3 linked regions of the Drosophila melanogaster genome follow. Changing the gene in region 2 together with the main gene of any one other region gives a genetic interaction. Each region holds a gene or a part of one and is shown on either strand. Other genes may lie near its edges.

What was found.
Region 1: of dally (region 2) and stet, changing one suppresses a phenotype caused by changing the other (phenotypic suppression), as found in Drosophila melanogaster (one study listed by BioGRID).
Region 3: of dally (region 2) and sll, changing one enhances a phenotype caused by changing the other (phenotypic enhancement), as found in Drosophila melanogaster (one study listed by BioGRID).

Annotation. Positions count from the first base shown.
Region 1 is NT_037436.4:1,485,732-1,491,735, forward strand, and holds the start of stet (stem cell tumor), read right to left. Parts: upstream 3,817-6,004; 5' UTR 3,721-3,816; intron 3,315-3,720; exon of another isoform or gene 3,175-3,314; intron 3,101-3,174; exon of another isoform or gene 3,008-3,100; intron 2,777-3,007; 5' UTR 2,686-2,776; coding exon 2,515-2,685; intron 2,460-2,514; coding exon 2,367-2,459; intron 2,299-2,366; coding exon 2,275-2,298; intron 2,205-2,274; coding exon 2,028-2,204; intron 1-2,027.
Region 2 is NT_037436.4:8,824,782-8,831,033, reverse strand, and holds the start of dally (division abnormally delayed), read right to left. Parts: upstream 3,530-6,252; 5' UTR 2,802-3,529; coding exon 2,531-2,801; intron 1-2,530. UniProt on the Drosophila melanogaster protein: Cell surface proteoglycan that bears heparan sulfate. Functions as a coreceptor for growth factors and morphogens, such as the products of dpp, to regulate signaling and distribution of these ligands.
Region 3 is NT_033777.3:17,603,529-17,609,526, forward strand, and holds sll (slalom), read left to right. Parts: upstream 1-2,577; 5' UTR 2,578-2,801; intron 2,802-2,849; exon of another isoform or gene 2,850-2,856; 5' UTR 2,857-2,990; coding exon 2,991-3,037; intron 3,038-3,098; coding exon 3,099-4,152; intron 4,153-4,404; coding exon 4,405-4,530; intron 4,531-4,611; coding exon 4,612-4,782; 3' UTR 4,783-5,013; downstream 5,014-5,998. Other genes in the region: CG14329 (uncharacterized protein), read left to right, coding at 5,895-5,998. UniProt on the Drosophila melanogaster protein: Mediates the transport of adenosine 3'-phospho 5'-phosphosulfate (PAPS), from cytosol into Golgi. PAPS is a universal sulfuryl donor for sulfation events that take place in the Golgi.

The sequences.
Region 1 (6,004 bases), 7.3 Mb from region 2:
CATCCGCAATTACCGTTAGGCACACACCCAAACCAAAGACACTAGAATAACAAGATGCGTAACGCCATACGATTTTTTGGCACACAATTTTTTGGCCGTGGCTCTAGAGGTGGCTCCAGGCTCTCTCGAATTTTTGTTAGAGAGCGAGAGAGCGAAGAGCGCTACAGCGAACCGCTCTTTTCTACGCATACAGTGATAGCAGACAACTTTATGTGTGCACACGTATGCTCATGCATTGTAAATTTGACAAAATATGCCCTTCACCGTAGAAGTTCTTAGACTTTAAATCTATATTATTTTTTATCAATTGGCACCATGCGAAAAATTCTTGTTTTGCATTGCCTTAACGTTATTATTATTTGAAAATAGATTAGAAAAAGCCAAATCTATGTACATATTATCACAAAAATCAATTTCAAACATGACTTTATATAAGAATATTTGTCATTAGAGTATTCATCTTGCGGCGTGTGAAAAATTAATAAGGCAATGATTGTTGAGTGCTTGTGTCCGCATTTCGTGCCTCAAGATATGAACAAAGCAAAGACACTAGAATAATTCTAGTGTCTTTGATATTACTTTTGCAATAAACAGTTATCATATTTAATTATTTAGTATATTTATTAAATCATTTGACCTAATATGATGTAACATTAACATTAAAAGTGTTTCAAAAAAATTATTTCGCTTTTAAAAAATTGTCAGATGAGAGACAAATTAGAATTAAACATAAATATAAATGTGTAAACGGTAGATAATTCGAGCGGCGATTTTAACAAACAAATTTAAACAGCTTTAAAATTATAATAAGAAGAGCGCGAATTTTTAAAAATTATTTTATTTCATCATATTGCTACGAAATTGGCAAAAAACTACCCTAATATGTACAATGTAAATTCATTTCTTTGATCAGAATTGATTTCGGCCCGAAAATCGTCTTCTAGCACAACACGCACACATATACGCGTTCTCGTCTCTTGTTTTTAACTCACACAAGCAAGCAAATTCTATTTTTAGATTTCTTATGTTCTCAGCGTGAGCGAGCGGAAAGAGAGCAATTTTGGCCGTCACCAAAAAAGTGGCTGCATAGTGCCAAACCAATGTATGGCCGTTACGCATCTTGTTATTCTAGTGTCTTTGCCCAAACTCACTCACACACTTACACACACACACACAGGGGCAAATGAGGACACGTCGGCCTGGCTAATTCATGACTTTAAGGACACTTTGGCAAACAATCGAACGGCCAAGGCGAAGGAATATTCACTGTGCAATTGATTATGCATGAGTGTTTTGTCGTGTGCGGTTTGTGTGCGTGCCAATCAACTGGGTAGAATCAATCAAAATGCAATAGGATTGCCCTGCCAATCAAAGGAAAAGCCGAGAAAAGCGCTTCATTCGCTCGCAGAAGTCACCTCTGCCGCCCACTCCCCTCCAGTTGCACAGCTCAAGTCCAAGGTAGTATTTTCGGACCACATCAGGACAAATAGCCAGTGCCCAGGTAACCAGGACAAACACTCAAATGCCTGGCCAAGCGTGGCGAAGGAAGCAAACGAGACGTGGGCTTACATACAGAAAAACTATGGTCTAACTTTTTCTACAATCGATGTCCTTGGTATATCCTTCAAATAACTTAATGCGCAGTGTATTTCATTCAAATACATTGCTGCTTCCGGAACAAGGTGTCCATAGGTACTAGCATAAAAGTAAGTAACCCCCTTTTATTCGCAGTGTAAGCGTAAGCGGCGCATTTATTTGCCAAGCGCACTTTTTGCATTTGCCAAACAAGAGTGCGGCTCCTGCCAGGACGAGGCCTTGTCCTCCGTCTGTTTGAACACGAGCCTACACTTTGGACCTCGTCCTGGGTGAGTACTTTGCACCTGTGTTTGCACTTAAATCGAGTTTGCCGTTGATGAGCAGCCCGGGACAAATATACGCATGGCATGGGTGCTTTGGGTACTTTGGTTACTTTGGTTACTTGGCCAGTGACCACCGGCGATTGTAATTGCGGCACACGGCACACTCACCACATTCACAAAGTCCTGGAACGTCACGTAGCCGGGTCCTGTGGGCAGCTTCGCCTTCTTTGCCCGCTCCAGCAGCAGCTCCCGCTTGTTCATAGGCACTTGGGACAGGAACTCCGGCGACTTGAGGGCCTCCAGGAATTCCTCGACTGATATTTCGCCAAAACCCTCGGGATCGAACTGCAAAGCGTGAAAAGTAATTATAAATAAGTATAATTATAAGTATTCCTTTTTGGGTTGGCTTACTCACCATGTCAAAGAGCAGTTTCCATTTCTGTAAGTAAAGTGAAGAAAGAAGGAATTATAATAAGTAATGTTCAGGATTTTCGTATTGGAACTCACATCTCTTAGTAGCTCCCGTCGCAGCTCGGCCTCATCGAAGTCCGAGTTCAGGGACGTGTGTTCCGTATCATAGCCGGCATCATTGGTGCATTGCTGCGGGTAATTAGAGTTAGAGATACGATCTTTACAAGCAACTCCGGCTCCTTACATAGCGCATTTGGGTGTGCGAGAGGGATCCAATGGAGGCAAGGGAGCCGGCAATGGTGGATATGTGCTCGATGTCGGCCAGAGTCTCCTGCTGACTACTACCGCCGGCATTTTGCTGGCTGGTTGGGATTTCCAGGGCCCGCGAGCTTCCTCGCTCGGAGCCGGGCCACATCCTGCTGTTCCTGGCTATCCAGATTTGGTTTTGGGATCAGGGCGGATCGTTGTGTTGTGGTTTGGCAGTGTTTGTAGCGATTAGAGTTCAGCTGCGGAAAAGTAATTATCAAGTATTATGCTCCGAACTTGTCTGTCCTTTTATTCCCCAATATTGTAGAAATTTAAATAATAATTTGAAACAAAAAAAGTAAATAGCTGTTATATATTTTTAAAATGTTTGTTTTCGAAATTCGCCAAGTGGATCCACTGTGCAGAGCTTTTCAATCTCTTTAACTCAAAAGCTCTTTTGGAGGCAGTTCAGTTTGAACGACATAAATTCCACCACCGATTTGGTCGAGTGCGCTGAGATGTCGATTCACGCGTGCTCACGTTTTTCGAGTGGCGGTTCGAGTGCCGCCGAGGTTGTGTCGAGATGAATAAAAAAAATAATTCATTCATTTCGTTTTCTTAAGAAAAGAAATTAAGATTTTCTGTTTGTTGGGGTTGGGGGGGCCTGTGAAATCAGTTTGTTGCAATTTGACGTTACTAGAATTGTTGCACTTTCCGCGGGCCCAGAGAGATACTTCCGGATAATCATAGGCTGCTGGTTTTCAATACCATAGTCTATTTCATGGCCGGCAAACAAATTTCCTTTTTGCTTTTGCCCTTTGTTTTGATTGCCAAGTCAACGGTTTGTTGTCGTTTTCCCTTATTTTCCGCTGATAAGAAGGTTATTGATCCTGCTGGAAATATAAGGCACACTGCGCAGAATCCGGCTGGCAAACAATTGTTTTGCATTTTGTTTACGCCTCGTCAATTGCCGGAACAATTTTGTTTTCATTTTGTTGAATTAAACTAGGCAATTGGCATTGATTGAATGGTTTTGTTAGCGAATGAATGGAATGCGCATTCTTCTCCTTCCATTGAAGGAGAATTGGCTTGATTGCTACCCCCCGTGTGTTTTGCTTTCTATTTGGTTCACAGGACTTTCTTGCTTGCGCTTCTCTGCTTGGCCTTTGGCTTTCTTTATTTCATTTATTTCACTTTTATTTACCGTTTTGCTTGCACCCGCGAACGCAAAACTATTGCACATTTACATCCAGGCAAAAACAAACACGCGAACTTTCCGCCGGCAAAATGACAACTGACCAAGGAGAGCTGCCAAAATTGAGAAGAGAGAGTGTCTCTCTGGGGGATGCAGGGGATTCGGATTCCCACGGCACATGCGCTCAGCTTGGAAAGCATTTCCAACCCGTTGGCATTTCCTTCCTCCCCTGCGCCCACCCACCCGCTCTGCGAGGGGGCGCATGACGCAATTCCAGAGCTGGCCACTCACACCCCCTAATGTTTACATACCCTGCACTTCGATAATAACAGCGGCTACGCACCCCACACCCCGCGACTTGCACCGTGGAATGCCAATGTTAAAATCATCACTAGTTTTCATACTAGTTAGTGATTCACTGCTGAAAACTTGATGAATGAAACTGCACGGGAGATGCAGCTTTATTGAAACTTACTCATATCACATACATATGATGAAGACAAAGCTCTGGTTGGCACACTCCACTCCACACTGTGCTACAAAGTTGCGATTGTGAAATGATGTTTTATGAATGAAGTCGAATTAATGAATGTATTTTGTAGAGCAAACTTTTAATTTGGAAAACTTTCTAGCCCTAAACTCAAAAAATCCGTTTTAAATATGATAAAAACAGATTTCTTAAATGTGTGATGCATTCATTCTTTAATGATGTCTAAAAAAAAATAATGATTTCAAATAGATAAGTTAAATGGAAGTTCCTGAGCTTTATTTGAGTAAGAGCTGTACCAAAATATTTTTAAAAATTACTTTAATCGATCAAAAGCAGAAATAATAAACTTAAGAAAAGTTCCACTGTAAGAATCGTGTGATTTTGGATGGTAAGGAAAGTGTAAGACCAAAGACCCTAGAATAACAAGATGCGTAACGCCATACGATTTTTTGGCACACGATTTTTTGGCCGTGGAACAAAGCAAAGACACTAGAATAATTCTATTGTCTTTGATATTACTTTTGCAATTTAATTTAATTGCATATTTAATTATTTAGTATATTTATTAAATCATTTGACTTAATATGATGTAACATTAACATTAAAAGTGTTTCAAAAAAATATTTCGCTTTTAAAAAATTGTCAGATGAGAGACAAATTAGAATTAAACATAAATATAAATGTGTAAACGGTAGCTAATTCAAGCGGCGATTTTAACAAACAAATTTAAAAAAGCTTTAAAATTATAATAGTCAGGGCGCGAATTTTTAAAAATTTTTTTATTTTATCATATTGCTAGGAAATTGGCAAAAACTACCCTAATATGTACCATGTAAATTCGTTTCTTCGATCAGAATTGATTTTGGCCCGAAAATCGTCTTCTAGCACAACACGCACACTTATACGCGTTCTCGTCTCTTGTTTTTACTCACACAAGCAAGCAAATTATATTTTTAGATTTCTTACGCTCTCAGCGGGAGTGAGCGGAAAGAGAGTAATTTTGGCCGTCACCAAAAAAGTGGCTGCATAGTGCCAAACCAATGTATGGCCGTTACGCATCTTGTTATTCTAGGGTCTTTGGTAAGACACAGGCGTGATGTCGCTTACGAATCAAATTATATATATGTATATACGTAATGTAAGGTAACTAATGGTAACGTACACTGTTATAAATATTAATGCCAAGCGCAGAACTTTCAAAACTGTTACTTGCAATATATTTACAGTTGCTTAAGCCTAGCCTAGTGGTCTAGATTATATAGCTAGATTATTTTGAACGATCCGATCCTGAACTTGCAGCTACTTGGGTTCGTGATGCGAAAGCACAGCAAATGTGGGGGGGTTAAGTGAGCATCGTATGATGACCACAATTCAAAGAACAGATTCCATACACTCGTCTATGTGGCTAGAGAAAGAACTATCGATCCACGGGGAATTCAATTCTTAAGGATTTATTTAATCTCCAGCAGCCTTGCTTGCTACTCCAATGTCTTCCTCTTTCCGGTTTTAACAATATTTACACTTCTGAAGGCCTAAAAAGATCGCTGGCTTACAACATGTGATACATCATATACATATATAATCTAGTAATTATGTAATTATCGAATATTTCTGCATCATTAGATTTAGTTGCTTAACTCTCGCATAGTTTAAACTTGCATCTATGTATCTGCTGCTCTCGCTGTAAACATAAAAGTCAAGGAAGAATCTCTTGAACCACATAACACATGCACTTGCTTTAAAACGGGAAACAGAGGAAGCAGAAAAAAAACATTACAACAAACTCGACTCCTAAAGCTACGT
Region 2 (6,252 bases):
CACATTTATGTTGGCAGTTAAGCCTTAAGTGGAGTTCTATGCCATTTGCCATCTCACATGGAATGGAACTTCAACTTTTAATTGGCAGTGCCGAGCGATAGTGAGCTGTGCTGCTCTTCCTCTAACCACTAATGATTTGGGTATGGGATTGGGGCATATGCGCAGTTCTCTAGTTAATTAAAATTTTTACTCGAGGATGAGCTCCTTTGATGGCAAAAGCATAAGCGTAGGCCCACGCACCCAAACTGCAGGTATGCATACCTACGTACATGTCAGGGAAATGGAATCCGTTTGAAAAGTTGTCTGCTAAGCAGTTTTCCCCGCTCCAAACGAGTCACGTTTGCCTTTGCCTTCTCTATTTGCACTTTTCACTTATCTAGCCAGGCGGCACACAAACACTTGCCGGCGGAGGAGATACGCGGATACATGGGCTCATATCTCATGGCTTGCTCTAATTTCTGTTGCGAGTTGCTTAAATATTTAGTAACACGGTCGGGGGCATTGGAACTGCTATGCCTTAAGCATAGATACAGATACTACAGATACTTGCAGGTAAACAGATACAGATACTGTGCGATACGATTAGATACTGCAGCTACGACTTCCTGTGCGTCTTTGTAACGCGCCAATGTTAATGTTCATTTTAATAGGCACGGAGTAATACTGTTTTTTTTTTTTGGCCCAAAAGCAAAGCCAACTCAATTAGCAGTCGAGTGGTGTGCGCAATTAAATTAAAATTTAGTTTTATGCCGAGCGCCTCTACCGGGAACTGCACGGCAAAAGCAAATCGGGAGAAACATATCGTATGCATGGCACCGACGAGAGATTAGCATCACAAACAGCACATAAACGTAAAAGTAACACACTCCAGAGCAAACAGAAAGAGATATAGATGGAGATACGGATACGTACTGTACGGATACAGATACATTAACAGATATACATAGATACATTGGCGGGGCATAAATTCTACGGAGGCGGAGGCAGGCGCAAGTGGAACTATGTAAACAGTAAATAAATGTCGAAAACAAGGTTCGGCATACTTAAGCAGGAGCAACGACCAGAGATACAGAGATACATACATAGGTGCTGATCGGAGATACGCCGCCTGGCATTAGCCAAATTGAAATTCCTCAAAGCCAGCGCTAATAACTTCCAGCTACCAGTTCAATTGGGCATTCTGGCATTCAGGTGGATAAGTCTCTGGGACACACAAACATGCACTTGTAACGCCAACTCTCGGTTGGCTATTCGGTTCTTCACACTTTGATGCCATGGCAATGCGGTCTGCTCAGCAATGTATCTCATAGATAGTTCTTCTTGGCGTTAACTACCTGCGTGTGGGAACGACTGAACAGAATGAGCAAAGAGAACCGAGAACCTCTGCAGACAGGTAAGCATTGGAGGGAAAAGTTGCAACATCATCGCCAGATACATTTGTATTCCAGTCGAGTTTGCGGCTGTGTATCATGTAATTGTGCGTAAACGCGTAAATACCAAGTCAAGGTCGGCTAATCAATAATAATTATTTTTCACTCAATTACACGAAACAGATATATATTGGGTACATTCGCTCGTTTTCGACTGATATTATCGGATTGTATTGCATTATTTGGTTATTCGGTCTTATTTTTGACTTCGGGTATGAAATATGCATAAACAAAAATATGTCGAGTATCTTGTGGATATCGGCTGTGGTAAATATAAATATACCTTCCATAGCCTTCACACAGTTTGGCCTCAGATGCGTGCCACTTGATATGGCAGTGTCGAGAAATCAGAATAACAAATGATGCCGCCGCCTGTGTATCTATGTATCTCTGCATCTGCGAGGTGCCAGATCCGATATGTAATGAACCTGGCGCGGCCAAAAACTTTATCCACGGCACGTCGAAAACTTTTCCGAGGCGTTGCTCAATGCGCAATCTTCTAATTGCAAACGGCGCCCGGCTGTTCGAGTGGTCATAGTTCGCCTCGAGTGGCTGCCCGCTCGAGGGTTTCACTCAGTTCAATGAATTTGCATATGCTTCTAGTTTCTGGCGGGGATTGAGAAGCGGATGGGGTCTAGAACGGACTAGAAATAAGAGAAACTGCAGCTGCGGGATGGCAAAAACTTTGGCTGACGCGCGATTTACTTGGTTGAAGTATGGAAGACTGATGGCGAGGCGAGGGTTAAGACAAACTCTGAAATCAAGGCAATGAATTTCCCGCAAAAGAAATGTTTTTAAACGGAGAGGATGCAAAAGTAATTAAATTGAAAAACCATTATCAATAATCCCAATTTATGTACCTCTTTCTTATTTAATGGAGTAGATAACTTAGACTTTAAGTATTCGAACCACTCTAGTGACCTGGGGAAATAACATACGTTTTCCTCTGCATAGTTTAAAGTTAGTACGTTTGCTCCTAAGGGGCCTTAACCATATTGGTAGCTTTAACTTCCTCCATCGTTCCCCGCTTCTTCCCCAGCCCGCATGTCCAAGTGCATACTCGATATTATAACTCTACGGATGGATGGCGTGAACTTTACCTTTTTCGCTGTAAGTCCCACTCGACTTGATGTCGATCGATTCGAAGTAGCTCTTGACGGCATCACACTGGTGGGTCGATCCCCCAACGGCGTCCTTCGCCCGCGAGTCCCGCTGTAGGCGACGTCTGTGGTGCGTGGTGGCGCTGTGCAGGTGGTGCTGGTGGTGGTGGATACCATCCAGGTCCAGGTGCTTGGCGGCTGACAGGCCGACGAAGCCGCAGAGCAGGGTAAATAGCAAAAGCTGCGCTAGCCGCACGCTCCTGGCCGCCATTTTTGATGGGTGATTTCTGTGTGCAGACACAGTGGATGATGGGGCTAAATTTGATTTGCCTTTGAATGCTTCTCTTATTTTTATTTTAGCCGGTTATTTTATTTACTCTATTTTGCAGCACTTCTTCGTATTTACTTCTGCATGCTGTCTGGGTGAACAGCTGTTCGCGGCAACAAACACACACACTCACACAAATGCACTTGCCGGCTAACACGCACACACACACACTGGCACACACGGCCACAAACACGAGCGCACAAAACAAAAGGCCCCAAAAACACGCGTGAGCAATAAACGTGGTAGTAAACGTGGGATGGCGATAGTGGGTGGTGGTGGGTGGTGGTCGAAGAGAGAGCGCGTGTCTAGCACTTTTTGCTTTTCTACTTTCTAGTTTTGAAAGGTCGCTAAATTTCTCACAAGTATTTTCTTAACTTATTCAGAGACTTTCCATGACATAACAACGAATAGTACTCAATTCCTTAGCAATTGATTTGCCAGCGATTAGATTTGTTTTTTTTTTCTTCTTTTTAATTTTCTCCTACGTTTTGTGTACTTAGGTCGGCGAAAATAGATTTAATTGCAAAGCTCCTTGGCCACCGGCGTTCTCAGGTCGAGGAAATGCACTCGCCTTCTTTTCTAGCGTTTTTCCGCTCGAATTTCGCACCGATATTTTCAGTTTTTCCGCGCGCGCAACGAACCTTCCACGACGAGAAACCCGAACAGATTGACTTTGCCATCGAAATCAAACATCCGCCCTGAGTGCTACAACTTTAACGATGCGAACACGAACCACACTCGGCACTCGACAATCGGCGCTAAGAGAACCATCCGAACGCTCTCTTTCGAACAAAAGAGAACGGCGAGCACAGATGTTGGCACAGTGGTGCAATGAATAGAGGTGTTTATGCGAACTCAATTTAATTCACAGGTTAACGCCGAGAATACATGAGTAATACAAGGGCGCAATCTGAAATGAATTAATTAATTTGAGTCTTTAGAGTTTTGGAAAACGAGCTTCGAACTAAACCACAAACTTTGTAATGCTTATTAGATATTATAAAGTATTTTAATTAAGGAATGCCCAACCACAATTTATAAGATGTTGTATTTATTAACAGCATGTAGTATGAGTAAAAGGGGAAATTAAAGTTAGTAACGCAAGCTTAGCTTTCGTAAGATATCTATTCTCTTCGATGATTGCCAAACGATTTCGACAGCCAATGAATCTACGTAGTTCCATAAAATTTGATATGACACATATCCTGTTTTCGTTTTATATATTTCAATAGTGATTCGCATTTATTTATGGGTTCCGGCATTCTTCAGGACCAACTTCGAGTTTTCCCTGGCCGTGTCATCTGCCACAGGAGCTGGCTTGATTCTGATTATTTTTCTCTGTGTCCGATGGGCCTAAATATTTATTCAAATTCTCGAAATGCTCTTCTAAAAGCTTTCAACGTTGGCTCGCTGCAATTTGCATATTCAACGTAAATCAATCCATCTCACAGTGGTCTTCTCGGGTGCTCCGGTGGCTTTTAATCCGGGCTTTTATCGATGCCGCTGGTTGAAATTTGCATGCTCGGTTCTAATTGATGTCTGAATGAGTTCTAATTTTATTTCATAGGCTATGTTTTACGATCGGCTTGATGAACCCGTGGAGCAGGCTCAGATTTCACGCCTTTGAAGAGTCTCAGATGCTTGGCAGCTATTTCCCTAGGGCTAAATGTTTCTGTTCAAATTGATAGCCGTGTCATGACCTCGCACAGCACGTGTGGTGGTATCGTTTGTTTTTTTTTCTTCATTTCTTTTCTTTTGTTAATTTTTTCCCTTTGCAATTTGCGAAAACGAAGCGATTGTCTTGAGGCTGCAGCGGTGTGGCAGACAATGCACGACCCGAACACACCAGCCTCTTCTCCCCGGACTTTCACTCGTCACCCCGCGGGCACCGACCTCGATCTTAAATACCTAGGCGTCTCGGGGCGTCTGTGTATCTATTTCTTCATTAACAAGATACTATATAGCCAGGGCAGCGGGAACTTCATGGTGGTCAGTTGCGGGCGTCCAGCTGGGCGCAAACGCCCTCCCACCCCCCATGGATGTTTTCCGTTCCCGGTGATATGTTCATCACGAAATGGAATCCTATTCAAATTAGTGTGCGATAAAGAAAGACCTCCCAAAAAATAAGAAAAAAAAAAGGAGAAGACTCAAGACCCCGGGGCAAACAGCGAAAAGTGAGTCATGCGAAGCGGAAACAGTTCTCCAATGAAACGAATCCACATCAGAAACAACCGTGATGATGATGATGATGATGATGGTGATGGGATGGCGAAACGGCAACAAAAAACAAAAACGAGCTGGAAAAGGTGAGGTCGAAAATTAAACACCACCACATCGTTTAGATAAAGTTATAAATTATAATGTACACTACGGAACGATCGATGAGAGCGAAGGTCCCAAAGAAACCGAAACCGAAACCAAAACCAAAACCCTTTTACTTCTCGCTCTCTCGCCTTATTTTCCGTTTTTTTTTCCTCCTTATTTTTGTATCGCACAGGTAAACCGTAGGCATATATATTATATAGGTGTGTGGGTAAAGGTAGGACTGGAATTAAACGAATTTAGTCAAACGGCATCTATAAATTATGGTGCTTCTTTTTGGCGATCGGGAAAATATGAACGCTTTTAGCTCGGCTCGTTGGCTTGTTGGCCCAACTCGAATTTCGTTTAAACGCTTGATTTAGTGCAGCAAAATATGGCCAAATGTTGGGCTATCTATGCAGTTGTATCCGCTTGTGTTTGTGTGTGTGCGCGCATTCCACAAGCGACAGCGTTTTACACTTGAAATCCTCCGGAGCGGGTCGAAAAGAGATGGATATATATACCCATGGAGCGACCCGGCTTGCCTTTTATCCTGGCACAAACACGTTGGTGGCATTCGGTTGTTGGTGTGCCTGCCTGTGTGTGTGACTGGTCCAACAGGTTCCACGGAGATTCTTCTCCAGTACCGCTCCCTCATGCCCGAAGACTGGCATGCAGCATTTCTCGTTCTCGGTCTCGTTTTGCACATTTTTGAATTTTATTTTAATTTCTTTTTATTATATTTTAGCTGCCAGGCTGCCCCTTTTCAGTGGGGGCCCCCCTTTTCTGGTACTTCGCTTCGGGTTTCTTCTGCTTTGAGTTTGGAGTTTGTGTGCAACTTTGGGCTTGCTGGCTTTTCATTCACCAAAAACTGGTTCGACGTTTAAGTTCTTCACTTGGCTTAGACGGGGGTTTTCAAGGAAGTTCTTCGATCCCACACCCCTCTCGTTCGCTGTGGAATGTGTGAAGTCATCGAGCTGGGGGCAGAGATTTGAATGCCAGCCTCGTCTTCTTATATTTTAAAAGACCTGGGCGGCACTTGCAGTAACAGGGTCTTGAAAATTCCATGCCCCCGCACACAGTCGCACATGCT
Region 3 (5,998 bases), on a different chromosome or scaffold from region 2:
ATAAAGTAATATTAAGTAAAAATATTATTGTTAAAAAATTCTTATTATATTAAAAGGGCGAAGAAGGCATAAAACCCAACCACTTTGCAGTATTCAATTGTTAAAAAATTGCATGAATTTCAATATTTTCAATATGTTTTATTTATTTTCTTTATTTAATTTAATTTAAATTTATTTTCCTTTCGGACTTCTCTGGTGTTCAATATCCTCTTCCAGAACCCGGTTGTAGACTTCGGTGAGCTTTTCGTGCTTTTCCTTCCACTGCGTATACGCGATGAGGGCTGAAGGGTAGCAGCTACCAACACCACCCCTTACATACAAGCATGTTTACGCTCATGTGTGTGCGTTCGGCTCACGCACACTGATTCCATTAGACGCACACATGGGCAGCTGTGCGTGGAACATTCCAAATTATGCTGACATGCTGATGCGGTAGCACAGGATTATGCTCCCCTGGTACGAAATCTACCACGAAAGAATGTGTACGAGTATGTGACGGACGTATACACGTGTCGCCTGAGTACACACACTGAAATCTGTCGAGTGTGCGAGATGCTGCCACTCTCACAAGGGCGAAATCAAAGACACAGGACCGCGATTTCGTGTGTGTGTACGTGTGTGCGTGTGTGTGTGGGACGCGACCTTGAGCAGAAGTAGCGCACTTAATGCAGCCGCAAGAGCAACCCCTAAATTGCCAGCAGCCGCAAACAGTGGTGTTCACGATAATAAAATCACAGCAACGAACTACATATACTTATTAATGTAATAATAATTATTTTCTTTAAAAATAATACGAATCTCAAACTTAACTAATAAGAATTCACTGAAAGAAGCCAAAAAATATGCTATGATGTCCTATGCTTCCTAAATATATTCCCGAAAGGGTAGAAATCTATAATTTGAAATGCGCTGTCCCCCCAAATTTTAAACCTGATACCTTTTCAACATCAGGATTCGTATTTAAATATGAAAATTAATAACTTGTGCTACATTTCTAGCCGCAACTGTGAGTTAAACCCACCGGGGTGGGTGCATCAATGTAAAGACGTAGTAATGCCGCTCCCGCTGGCCGTTCTGTTCGCCTGGTGCACTAAGGTTGCTCCTAGTTACGACGTAACTGTTAACCGGTTTGGCCCGTCGGCAGCGCTGCTCCTGCATGTTACCGTTATGTAATGGCCTCGACAATGGTAACGTGAAAGAACCCATCCCACTCGGTGGGTGGGCCAGCGGGGCAGGCCGTACGCTTTACTCCGCCCCGTAGATCACGCCCTAGTGGGGTGACATGCGCAATGGCATCGAGTGGCGTTGGGTTGCCCACTGCGATTCCTGGTCGCCTGGTAATCCTTGGGCGTTACCTTAAGAAGGGTTAAACCGCTGATGGACACGTGTCTGTCGAGTTGAATGTGCTGCCGCTGCTGCTGCTGCTGAGGTTCTTGGCCGCGTTCTTGGCAAAAATCACAAAGAGCCAGTCCGGCGGTGCCGTACTCGTTTTGGGCGCCACCCAGTGCCCGTACTCGCTAATTGAAACGCTCCGCGGGACTCGGAGGTTGCCGGTGCCTGTGACCCACCCACTTGGGCGGGCAGAATCGCGACCTGCCATCCACAGGGGCGTAGTCCGTGCCATCGTGTTCCTGTGCCAGTGGTTGTCAGTGCTGCATAAGTTCTGGCTGGAAAGTAGACAGATGAAGTAAATTTGATTACTTTTTAATATAGTGGTATGTACATTTTATAAACAGATAATTTTAAATTCCACAAGTTTTGTATTAAGATTTCTCAAAATAATTATTCATGTAAAATTGATTTGATTTTAAATAAACCTTCTCATTATTTGTTTTATTAGGTTTTTAAATAGCCAAATCATCAGCACTAGGGGTTGCACAGCCATCGAAACCCACCCCTAAAGCAAGGAATGGCAATGTCAAGCGACACACCCCTCGCGCACGCACAGACACACGCACACATGGACAGGCAACGAGTCCTTTCGATTTCATTACGTTCATTATGTGAGGGGTGTCCTCTGAATCACACATTCCACACTCCTCCTGAAATTGATGTGCGCCTGGTATTAGACCTCAAGCGGAATTTCCTTTCGTTTGATTGTAAGTTGTGGGAACGTGCAACAGCATGTGTGATGAAATTCAATTATTAAAATATTACTATCTTACCATCTATTATTACCATCTTATTATTGAATACAATAACTAAATATTTTTGTATAAGTTAAGTAACTTTTTACTTTTGTTAATTACCAGTTTTATTATTATTATTTATAACTAGATACAAAGAAAACAGCGATAATTAAGCTTATCTCGATAGTTATTACCAGCGATTACAAATTTTCCAATTGGTTTTAACAAACAGTCCATCCCTCTTATAATCTATTTTAACGATTTAAGGCATGTTTCAAGGCTTTTAATATGCAAAAATGCACAAAAACAACAAATAAAATTACTAATCCGTTTCATACAAAGAACAGCTGACAAAAAAAAACGACCGAAACCTAACGGTAAATAATTCAAAAGATTAGGGAATACCCCAAATGGTATTTACTTTTAGACCGTGTGGTATTTTCTATCGTTATCGGCGCGGTCATACTGGTAACGTATTGGTTACTATTATAAAATATTTGGCAATCTCGTTCTACTCGCTGGCGGCCAAATAGCTGCAGAATGTTTGAGCAGCTGGCCTGAGAGCTAGTGCCGGCTGCCCGAGCCTAGTACCCCGGACGTCCAGAACATCTTGAAGCTCCAAACGCACCGCACGCACATCTGGCAGCCGATTGTAAACAAACTCGGGATATGGTAATTAGATGATGCCGATTTGGAGTGTGCGAATCATGCAAAAACTAGTTTTCAGAGCCGCGCCGGTTGTTGAACTCTTGACACTTGACTGGTAATAGATTATCGCCCGCGGGTTCAATAGGAATCGGAGAATCGGTCGAGTCAGCAGCACCGGGCATTCAAACCGAGAGAGCCAACGAAACGCGCCACATGTACGCCTATAATAAGATGGGTCGGGTTCCAGAGCTTGTTATATGGTGAGAACCCAACGAAGTTGAAAATCAAATTAAACTAATCCCGCCCTTAAAATCTGAACAGCTCCTTCATAGTGGTCACCCTGCTTGTCATACACTTCTTCTCGGATCTGCTGAGAGCCTCCCTAGGCGGCTACTACAACCAGGATGTTACACTTTCCCAGCTGGTTGAGTCGCAGAACTCGGACTACGCATGGTTCCTTAAGCTGCTGGTCAATTGCTTTGGTTATAGCTGCGTCTTTGTGCCGGGCTTCTTGATCTACAAATATGTCGGCAGGATTAACTACCTGGAAAGAGGCAACAAGACATTCCTGCACAAGGCTATCAATATGTGTATCACGGGTAACTCTGGATACGATCAGTTGGATGCAGGGACCAGCACCGCGGATAAGGATCGTCCGGCAGCCTCTACGGCACCAAAGCGAACGAGTTCCCAGGAGGCCGTGCAACTATTATGGTGCTTTGGCGGCCTGATGATCTCCTATCTTACCTGGGGTGTACTGCAGGAGAAGATAATGACTCAAAACTATCTGAACTTCACTGGAGAAAGTGCCAAGTTTAAGGACTCTCAGTTCCTGGTGTTTTCCAATCGTCTGCTGGCCTTTCTCGTGGCGCTGGCCTATCTACAATGGCAGCCCTCACCTGTGCGACACCGTGCACCTCTGTACAAATACTCCTATGCCTCCTTCTCGAATATAATGAGCGCATGGTTCCAGTACGAGGCCCTGAAGTTTGTCAACTTTCCCACCCAGGTGCTGGCCAAATCGTGTAAGATTATACCCGTTATGCTGATGGGCAAAATCATGTCTAAGGCAAAGTACGAGAGTTACGAGTATGTGACGGCCCTGCTCATATCGCTGGGCATGATCTTCTTCATGAGCGGCTCCTCGGACAGCAGCAAGGCCAGCGGAGTGACCACGCTCACGGGCATTTTCCTGCTCTCCATGTACATGGTCTTCGACAGCTTCACTGCCAATTGGCAGGGATCGCTCTTCAAGAGCTACGGCATGACTCCGTTGCAGATGATGTGCGGCGTCAACCTGTTTTCCTCCATTTTCACTGGAGCCTCGCTGTCCATGCAGGGAGGATTCATGGACTCCTTGGCATTTGCTACAGAGGTAAATATATATAAAGATATCAAGCTCTCAATTTATGATGATATCCATTTTAATCAAAATAACGTAGCATGTTCTGAAATTGAAAGAATATTTGATTTGTTTGTGTTTTGTGGTTTGTGATTTGCATAACCCAAATTGCAAAATTATAACAAAATAACAATAGATTTTAAAAATTTAACGTTTTTTCAAGTAGCTGATATATGTAAGACACCAGATGGTACTTTCTCACTGTTTTTTTGTATTTTTCTCCAGCATCCTAAGTTTGTGTTTGATATGGTTGTGCTTTCCGTTTGTTCAGCGGTCGGACAATTGTTTATCTATCATACAATTGATGTCTTCGGCCCAGTTGTGTTTACGATAATAATGACACTGCGTCAGGTGAGTTGTTTTGAGAGTGTGGAATGGGGGTTTGTTTAATCAACTGCCTGCTTACGAGAAATTTCATTCTGCTTCCCACAGGCGGTGGCCATTATGCTCTCCTGCTTCATCTACCAGCACAGCATATCGCTGTTGGGCATCTTCGGTGTTCTGATCGTTTTCGTTGCCATCTTCCTGAGGGTCTACTGCACCCAGCGGTTGAGGGCCATTCGGAAGCGGGCCGAGGCCAACAAACCGAAAATGGCTGTCTAACTAGGGACGTAGACTCCCTTCGAATACAACGCACAGACTTCCTAGCTCAGCCTTTTATTGTGCTCATAGTAACCCATGGCAGATGCCACTTCCAAAGCCCAAACAGAAGCTGCTCGGACTCTCCAAAAATTGTACAGTTTTGTTTTCATAGTTCTAAGTTGAATGTATACTTATATCCTAATCATAAGCGTAGACGACTAGTGAATGTGCTTAAATAAACATTTTATATGTATACGGCAATGATAACAGTTTTCAAAGGAAATTAGATATTTGCTTTTTTTTTTGTTTAACATTTAGGTTTCACTGTATTGAGAGAAATCTATAGCTATAAGGTATCTTTTTCTGAGAATTCAGTTTATATTTTTCTATGTTAAATTGATTATCCAAAAACAACTTTACTAAACGGGCTACAATTTGTAAAAAGATTTCAAATCTTTGAAGATAGATGAGATGATTCATATTATAATTATTATAATAATTATACCACTTTAATAAGGCTTATTTTGGCAGCATTTTTTATCAGATATTAATAGTAGTGCAGAGCGTCATAAATTGGGTTGCCGTTGGCGAAAAAAATTGATTAATGTGAGAAGCATCCGTGCATCCCCCCAAACCTAATTAGCTTAGCTCCCATATTAGCGATACTTGGTGCAGTCGGTAAACTCGACATTGACCCACTTTCGGGTTACATTTTTGGCAGAAACGTGGTTTTGGCCAAAACAGCGTTGGGTGAGAGCTTCCATCGCTTGGTTCAGGTCAATGCACATGAGTCGCCGAGTGTAACATGTTTTTACTTGGCTATTGTTGTGCCATGTGGGCGATTATACTGATGATGATGAGGTTGATGATGCCGGTGGCTCGGGTGGGCGGCCTGAATTACCATATCAAAACAATGCCCTGGAAAAATTGAGCCAATAAAAAAGGGCATTATGCAATATCGCCGGTGTCTGGCTGCCTTCTAAGGGAATAGCAGCCAATTTGCCAAATTCGAGTTGGTTTTTTTGCGCACGGGCAAGGTGATAAGTTGGGGCGTACTCCGCATTAGAGGAATAGTTTGTGCTCATCCCGCCGAGCGTGCAGAAGTCTTTCAGCAATAGAATCGCGTTTTCAATATGAAACTGTTTCTTCTACTCCTTCTGGGAGCCTTGGGCTATTCGTTGGCCTATCCGCGCACCTATAGTTACGAGTATCCCCGCCGAAGGGCCTACTCCACATC